Linked DNA regions of Rattus norvegicus. The protein of the gene in region 2 binds, or shares a complex with, the protein of the main gene of each other region. Links are inferred from orthologs where the notes say so. Each region holds a gene or a part of one and is shown on either strand. Other genes may lie near its edges.

Region 1 (4,512 bases), on a different chromosome or scaffold from region 2:
AGTTCTGTGTGTGTTTACGTGCTGCAGTACCTATATGGAGATCAGGACAACTTGGAGGAGTTGGTTTTCTCCTTCCACTATGTGCTGTGGTTTCCAGGGTTTGAACTCGGGTCCCAGGTGCTTTCATCCACAGAGCCGCCTAGTGTGTGTTTGAATAAAGTATTGAAGTAGTTGACTGCAGTGAGATGTCAGTAAAGCTGGTCCCTGCATTTGAGAGTTAAGGCTTCTAAGTCCCAAGTCCTGGCTTTTCCAGTGAAATTCTGAGCCTGTTTCTTGTATGGAATTGGCACTCTTTGCTTTCCCAAATCATCTAAGTCATATATGATAACTGAGATATTGCATACAAACTCCTAGCCTATAACACAGGTACATTAAGGCCTTTTAGATCAACTCAAATAATACATTATTAATATGTAGACGTCTACTAGCCAGTTGGGGCTTTTACTGCAATTATGGCTGGTGCTAAAACTGCTGATCTCCTATCGTTACTAGGATGTGTCCAGTTCAGACAAGCATTTAAAACAAGTCAGGGGCTCAAGAGACAGCTTATGAGGTAAGAGCATGTAGCTCTTACAGAGGGCCTGGGTTTGGTTCCTGTACCAACCTGGAGGTTGACACTCCAGCTCCAGGGGCTTGCACAGGCACCCTCTTCCGACCTCTGTGGGTTCTTGCACACATGTGCTAGACTCTCAGGCACATACAGTTAAAGATTAAAAGCGCACTGAAGTCTATAGCCTGAGAGGCTGGGACTCATGAGGCCTATTTTTTTTGTAGTCCTACAAATGTCATATTAAAATGACCAGTGGGACTCATTAACCTAAAACGACAAAATTTATGGTAAGAAATTCAGGCCACTGAGTGACAATAACAAGCTCAAATTCGGGGTTGGGGATTTAGCTCAGTGGTAGAGCGCTTGCCTAGGAAGCACAAGGCCCTGGGTTCGGTCCCCAGCTCCGAAAAAAAGAACAAAAAAAAAAATAAAATAAAACAACAAGCTCAAATTCCAGCCACTACATGACAAATATTGCTTGTCTTTTTTTTTTTTTTTTTACTTTTCCCTTTTTAGCAACTGCATTTCTTTTTTTTTTTTTTAAAAAGATTTATTTATTCATTATATATGAGCACACTGTAGCTGTCTTCAGAAACACTAGAAGAGGGCATCGGATCCCTGTGGCAGATGGTTTTGAGTCACCATGCGGTTGCTGGGAATTGAACTCAGGACCTCTGGAAGAACAGTCAGTGCTCTTAACCACTGAGCCATCTCTCCAGCCCGCAACTGCATTTCTTTAGTTTCTCCTAGAAGACAAGAAATCCTGACTCTTGAAAATTACAATTCTAAAATTTTGTATGCCGCAGAGATGTGTACTATGGTGTATGTGGAAGTCAGAAGGCAACTTGTTCAAGTCAGTTCTCTTCCACCATGTGGGTCTTAAGGATCAAACTAAGATCATCATGATTGGTAGCAATTGCCCTCACCCGCTGAACCCACCACACCATCACCACCACTGCCGACTCCTGTCTGATTCTATTTTCTCCCCAAATAAATTAATGAAATGTTTATTTGAGCATTTATCAAGTATTTATGCAGTGCTAGACATTAAAAAAAAAATCCGGGGCTGGGGATTTAGCTCAGTGGTAGAGCGCTTACCTAGGAAGCGCAAGGCCCTGGGTTAGGTCCCCAGCTCCGAAAAAAAGAACCAAAAAAAAAAAAAAGAAAGGAGAATTAGTAGGAGAAAAGTAGGTGGGATAAGGAGCTGGTAAAAGCAAGGACTGAAAATTGTGGGGAAAAAAGTAACGGAGGGAGAACTCTGGAAGCTGAAAGCATGACAGTGCTGGCTTGGAGAGATGGGCAGAGACTGACAACCAAGAGCCTGCAGGCCTCAAGCAAACTTTTTTTGGCTTCAGGAGCAGTGCCACATCTTCTGAAGATCTTGGATGGGGAAATGACATCAGGTCAACCGCTGCGAAGTACTGGGTAATGAGGTGCGGGGTAATGTTAGGCAAATAGTGATAACTTCTCTGCATCTGAGCATCAGATCAAAGACCGGAAGGAATCAGACTGGAAGGTGAGAAGAACAGGTGACTAACACGATTTAAACTTCGCAAAGCATTTCACCGATTTCCTGAAACTGATGCTACGTGGGTAATACAGGCTTATAATTAGCACTGATGAAACAGCCAGATTCTATCTCCAAAAACAGGTGAAGCATAACTTGTTATTTGGATGTCCCATATTAGCATAAAACTGATTTGAAGATACATACGTACATACATATATGTATATGTATGTATGTATGTATATATATATAAATATATATATGTATATATGTGTAAATATATATATATATTTCTTCAGCTATTTAATCTGATGCTCAGGTAGGCAAGTGAAAACACCTTAGAGGGAATGAACGTGGTTAGTAAGCCGGTACAGGCTGGAGGCGGGTCCTGAAGGAACAGTACACCCGAGAGGGTGGTAGGGGCTCTATGAAGTAGGGGATTTTCGGACTTTGTTCCTATTTACATCGAGACTGGGAAGACTAGAGGATTCTAAACGGGAGTGACAGGATCTATAATGAACTAGGGGAAGAGTGAAGCCATCCTCGCGGTGACCTGACAAATTTCCAATTATGCAAAGAATCTGAAACAGCCTCCAAGGTGCCCGAGTCAAGACGCCGAGGCCGCAGCCGGGAGCTTACCTGTCCTCCAGAACCGACTCCAGGGGCTCCACCCCGTCGGTGTCCACGGCGTGCAGCTGGTCGGCAAAGGCCACGGCTTTCTCTAGCCGGTCCACCGCCTCGCGGCTGCTGAAGTTCACCAGTGCCAGCCGCTCCAGATGCTCGACTACCGCGGCGGACACGCGATCGGTGCCCTCCGGGACTAGGCGTGGAGCCTGGGTCTTCGGGTCCGCCGCCTGGACCTTTCCGCGTGGACCCACTTTGGAAGCAAAACTTCGGCCCCGGTCCAGAGGAGCCCGAAATTGCACCCTCGCCGCCTGTGCCCACATCTTTGCTTCTCGGCCTCCGTAGCGACAAACGGTGGGGCGACGTGCGCGCGCGTGACGACATTAGAGTGCGTCGCCGTCACTGCAGCTGCGGTCGCCATGAACAGCGTCGGGGAGGCTTGCACTGACATGAAGCGCGAGTACGACCAATGCTTTAACCGCTGGTTTGCTGAGAAGTTTCTCAAAGGAGACGGCTCGGGGGACCCGTGCACCGACCTCTTCAAACGCTACCAACAGTGTGTCCAGGTGAGCTTCGCCCGGACCAGCCGCAGGGCTGCAGCAGCCCTCTTCTCCGCCATCCCACCGAAATTGCTTGGGTGTCGCCGCTTGATACACTGGGATGTTTTCGCGGTGCTTTGCTTTTTACATAGTACATTAGTATTTTGTTGTTGTTGCTCATTTGTTTGGTACTTATTCCAACCTTGCAAGTAGTCATAATTATTCGTATCTTTAAAAATTGCCGTGGCCGGGGCGGTGATCGCGCACACCTTTAATATCCTAGCACACAGGAGGCAGAGGCAGGCGGGTCTCTTGAGTAAGAGGCCACCCTGGTTTACAGAGTTGAGTTCCACGACAGCCAGGACTACACGGAAAAACTCCGTCTCTGGGCGGAAAAAAATGTATGTGTTCCCGTCCGGGATATGTGTTCCCGTCCGGGATAATGTCGGAGACAACTAACGGAGTCAGTTTTCTCCTTTCACATTTATGTGGGTTCTGGGGATAAAGTTCAGGACACCAGGCTTGGTGACAAGACGTTCTGTTATCTATACTTTACACATGGAAAAACTCGTACTCAGAAATAGGAAGTGATTGTTCAAAGGCACTGGAGTCTGGTGACCTCGATTATTTTGGTGGTGTCATTTCACTGTTAAGAGTGGATGTGTTTACCGTATGTTTTAGACTGCTAAGGAATTGCAGAGGTCCCGTTTTGTTACGATCTCTTCGTTGCTCTGTTTTTCCTCCACCTGTTGTACCAATAAGGTTTGATTTCAGGCCAGCACTTTTTTTTTTTAAAGATTTATTTATTTTTATTTATATGAGTACATTGAAGCTGTTTTCAGACACACCAGAAGAGGACATCGGATCCTATTAGAGATGGTTGTGAGCCACCATGTGGTTGCTGGGAATTGAACTCAGGACCTCTGGAAGAGCAGTCAGTGCTCTTAACCACTGAGCCATCCCTCCAGCCCTCAAATCAGCACTTCTAACCTAAAACCATCCCCTGGATTCCAGAAGCTACCTTTAGCCAGTTCTCAGACAGTGAAGGTGACTCAAGGTCACATAGCCGCTTAAACTGAGATTCATATTAAACACTGTCACTAAGATAGAGATAGGTACCTGAACTGACCTTCCCAAGAGCAGGCGTGCATACCACACAGGACTTACATGACAGTCTGCACGTCGGTGCTGCTTGGTAAACCAGTGCTAGAGGTACTCACTTTTAATCCCATGACTCAGAGGCAGGCAGATGTGAGTTCTAGACTACCCGGGGCTACACAATGAAACCTTGT
Region 2 (4,333 bases):
GGGCAATAGGAGACCCTGTCTTAAAACAAAGCAAATAAAATTACCACCTCCCCCCCCCCCCCAAATCCTGTAGAATGCTAGCTGGCCTCTCCATTCCCTGACCTTACTTCACACGAATGGTTCCCATGTTACTCCAGTTACCACTTACTTGGTTGTAGCCATTCTCCATGATCTAAAATCTCCTAGATCTCAGTTCTAGCCATCCCACATCTGTTCCCCTTTTACCTCATTTACTGTGCACACAGCCAGCAATGCAGTAAAGGACACCAGCCTCATAACCGTGAGGAAGTGGATTCCCCATTCCTTTTAGAGAACAAATTTAGCAAGGATAGCCTGGGCTACATAACAAGATTCTGCCTCAAAAAAAACAAACAAAACCGAAACAAAAAAAAAACCGATAAATTTGTTTTTTCACTAACAGTATGATTTGTGTAAAGGCTATTCCCAGTTGTCAGCTTGACTGTATCCGATATGCCACATGCATTGTAGGATTTTACATATAGCTCACATACAATGTATGGTAATTTTATATATAAATTAACATTTATACATATTAAATTAACATATATGTCACCTTTCTTACTTATATATCATTATATATCACAAAAATATTAGCACATGTGCATATATACACACATATGCATACACACGTTAATTTAATATATATGCACACACATGTGTACATATATGTTAAGTTAGTATCGATGTATCACTGAAATGGTGCCAGCTGAGAAAGAAGAGACTTCTCAAATCTCCATTTGGAAGGGAAAGGGAGAAGGTAGGCAGGACACTCAATACTAAGTTACCAGGGTCTACCCAGAGACCACATTAAGCCATATACTCTGAGCTTTAATCACACAGATCTCTCTAATTGAGTCCAGAGGGGGAACCAGCTCAAGTTTTAACTAAGACCCCGGGTTATTCTGAGTGGGCAAGCAAGACTGTTGTGAAGCTTGAGAGAGTTTGGCCTCAAACAAAAGCAGGTGTGCTATGTTAAAGCAAGACTGTGAATTAAGGCAGGGACAGGAAGTCGACAGAACAGACTATAGGGCTTCGTGAGTCGATGGACACAGAGACTGAAGAGCAGTGTACAGACCCGCTGGTAACAAGCGTGCTTCTGGGTTTGTTCTGGGCTCGGTGCAATGGCGCCTTTGTTTGGTTTAGCGTGTTCTGGGCGATTGGAAGAGCCCTCCAGAAGGCTCTCACAGATAAGAACCTCGGCAGGGCTTCCTAAGCTTTTCCCACTCACAATCCTTTTCTGCCAGACAAGCTTGGCAAAGCACAGGTACACTGAGAAACAAAGTCGGCATGCAAGACATTTATTGCTAAATCATAAAGAATTTGATTTTAGAACAATTCTCCAGAGGCTAAACGCTGGCTGCTCTTCTGGAGGCCCTGAGTTCAATTTCCAGCACCCATAAGGCAGCTCTCAACCACCTAGACTATAGTGGCACGGGATCTGATACACTCTTGTGGGTGTGCAGACATACATGCAGTCAAAATACCCATATACAATAAGTAAATAAATAGATATTTAAAAAATTCTTTGGTATACATAATTTTGCTCTTAAAGATGATAGTAAATCTGCATACCAATGGATGCATAGACTCATAGACTTACTTATTTTAAAATAAGGAATTAAATCCTGGCTGCAGGTTGCTTCAATGTTGTTCCCTTTTTCAGTTTACCAATATTTTGATTTGCTATATCAGTGCCGAGAACACCACTTTGCATAAGTATGTTGTATGAAATGGTAGGAGCATGTATAGAGCCATACTGGGAAAAGCTGAATAACCTCACATCGAACTTATTTAATAACTTTTGAATGAAACTCAAGTCGATAACTCAAGCAGCCATTTTCAGTATCAAGCACCTTAATGCAATAGAACCCAGAGAAACACAAATTTCACACTTAGGGTACGGACGCGCTGAGGAATGATTTAGGAAAATATTAAAAGGTTTTGTTCTCTGCAATTAAACAATTATGTTTCCACAAGTGTAGAAAGGTTGCACATATGTTAAATCCTAACACAGAACACCCTCGATTCTGAGTTGAGATGTTTCAGGCATTTGCTGGGTAGTGCACACATACTGCTCTGAACCTCGCGCAGAGAAGTCGTGAGGGAGCAACATTGGGTGCTGTCAGAAACATCTTGAATTCACAACGCGTTTGCCCACTGTCTCTAAGAAACATCCCCTTTCCCCTTTTAAACTGCTGTCAAATTTTCTCCTACATTTGTGGTTGCGACCTATTGCTTAAATAGGGGTTAAAACATGATGTGTAGAAACCCTAGTTGTTCGGCCGTGTTTTTCCTTTGTTTTTTTTTTTTAAGCCATAATTTATTTATTTATTTATTTTTTGGCCATCATTTTTTTGGTTTGTTTGAAATTTGCATGCTATAAAATCGCCCGGTCCCTAAGCGAGCACAGCAGCGACAGGCTTGAAATGGCTTGTCTGAGAAACCGTTCCCAAATCGCGCGGGAGGGATGCAATTCCACTCCACGGCTCGGGGGGTTCAACAATTTCTCTTGACGTGGCTGACTCCTGGGAATTGATAGAGGGTGTACGTAAGAGCCTAGGTTCGAATCCCACTTCCCACTCAGGAATGTAGGCGGCCAGGCGGAGCGAGCAGTGCGGGGTGACCCGGGGCGACCTTGAACTTCCAAGTCCTCCAGTGTCTCCGCCCTCCCTGATCCACTCCTGGCCACGTCCACTCACTTCTCGGAGAGTCCGGCCCAGCATAGTCCTCTGAGTCAGCCCAGTACCACAGGATCCCAGAGCAGAGGAAGAAGTCAACGTCGGTCACCGGCGTTACATGGGCGCAGACATCTTGGATCCTCACGCCCCCTCCTCAACAACGAGCGCCTCGATTGGTCGATTTCCAGGATGCGGAAATGATCCCTGCACACGATTGGCTCGCGAGCCGGCGGCAGGAGGCTGCGCGCGGACAAGCAAGGAGACCGCGGCCGGGGTCGCCTCGGGATTGCAAGCCCTGTTTGCTCGTCCTGCTGAGGACTCCCTGCTTGTTTGCTTTTTTCCTTAATGGGAAGGAGAGCGTAAGGAAGGAATGGCCAGAGTACTGGCTGGACGCCATTTCTGAGTGGGGAGCACAGTAGCAATTCTATTTTCTTCTGTTGCTACTTTAGGTTGAGCTTGTTTCTGAAAGCTCCTCCTCCCTTAATTGACCAGTGGGTTTGGCAGAATTTGGCTGAATTGAAGCTTGTTCGTTTGACCCGCCCCAGGTCCTCTCTCCGCCTCCCCACCCACGTTCCTCCTTTCTTTCGCTTCTTTTCCCTTCCTTCCTTCCTTTTTTTAATTTTTTTTTTTTTTGAGGACACGTTCTCCATCCCTGCGCAGGATGGAAGTTTTGAAGACTTGTGTACTTAGAAGAAATGCTTGTGCCGCCGTGTGCTTCTGGAGAAGGAAAGTTATCACGAGGCCACCATATAGAGGCATTAGTACTACGTCTGCGAGGAGCACTGTCATGCCCGCTTGGGTGATAGATAAATATGGAAAGAATGAAGTCCTTCGATTCACCCAGAACATGATGTTACCTATCATACACTATCCAAACGAAGTCATTATCAAAGTCCATGCTGCCAGTGTAAATCCTATAGATGTTAACATGAGAAGTAAGTTGCCCAGGTTTTTTTGTTTTTGTTTTTTTGTTTTTTTAAATCAAATTCACTGGGTACACGGGTGTTTTGTTGGTTTTGTTTTGAAACAAGGGATCGTTGTCTAGCCTAGGCTGGCCTCCAACTCATTGTATACACCTGAGTAGTCTCCACTCTGCAGCCCTCCTGTTCTGCCTCTCCAGTCCTGGGATACAGCAGGTGTAGACCTCCACACCTAGTTAATGGACTACGTTTTGGTTGGCTTGAAGGAATCATTTAGGTTTCTTATTACGTGTGTTTATTTTGTGGTTGGGTGTGTGGAACAGGGCCCAAGTGGAGGTCACAGGACATCCTTTGGGGTGAGTTTTTTTCCTTCTACCATGTAGGCTCAGGGGATTAAACTGACCATGAGTCTTGGTGGCAGGCACCACTGTAGGCAGAATGATCCAAAATTGTGTAGGTTTCTGATAAGATCCCTGCAAATATTTCCGAAGTTTCGACATCACGACTGCCAAGGTATACTTTAATCTTTTATTGAATGTGTTTGCTTCCTTTCACACTCAAATTGGGGCTGAGAACTGATTTGCTACTGTTGATTTGCTCTGTGGTAATTTTAGGGTCCAGCACAGGTTCCAGAGTTTGGTTATGTTTCTCCATCACTTCAGAGTTTGTGTTCATGTAATTCCTGTATCCTTCTTGCTGTCCCACTGTTCACAG

The links.
Region 1: Qrsl1 (region 2) and Gatc share a complex: the UniProt entries of both Homo sapiens proteins name them as parts of the heterotrimeric GatCAB amidotransferase (AdT) complex. The link is inferred for Rattus norvegicus from reciprocal best matches to the Homo sapiens genes QRSL1 and GATC.

What each region holds. Positions count from the first base shown.
Region 1 is NC_086030.1:46,929,321-46,933,832, reverse strand, and holds the start of Gatc (glutamyl-tRNA(Gln) amidotransferase subunit C, mitochondrial), read right to left. Parts: upstream 3,014-4,512; 5' UTR 3,005-3,013; coding exon 2,697-3,004; intron 1-2,696. Other genes in the region: Triap1 (TP53-regulated inhibitor of apoptosis 1), read left to right, coding at 3,101-3,247. UniProt on the Homo sapiens protein: Allows the formation of correctly charged Gln-tRNA(Gln) through the transamidation of misacylated Glu-tRNA(Gln) in the mitochondria. The reaction takes place in the presence of glutamine and ATP through an activated gamma-phospho-Glu-tRNA(Gln).
Region 2 is NC_086038.1:48,961,971-48,966,303, forward strand, and holds the start of Qrsl1 (glutamyl-tRNA(Gln) amidotransferase subunit A, mitochondrial), read right to left. Parts: upstream 2,843-4,333; 5' UTR 2,745-2,842; coding exon 2,721-2,744; intron 1-2,720. Other genes in the region: Rtn4ip1 (reticulon-4-interacting protein 1, mitochondrial), read left to right, coding at 3,361-3,634. UniProt on the Homo sapiens protein: Allows the formation of correctly charged Gln-tRNA(Gln) through the transamidation of misacylated Glu-tRNA(Gln) in the mitochondria. The reaction takes place in the presence of glutamine and ATP through an activated gamma-phospho-Glu-tRNA(Gln).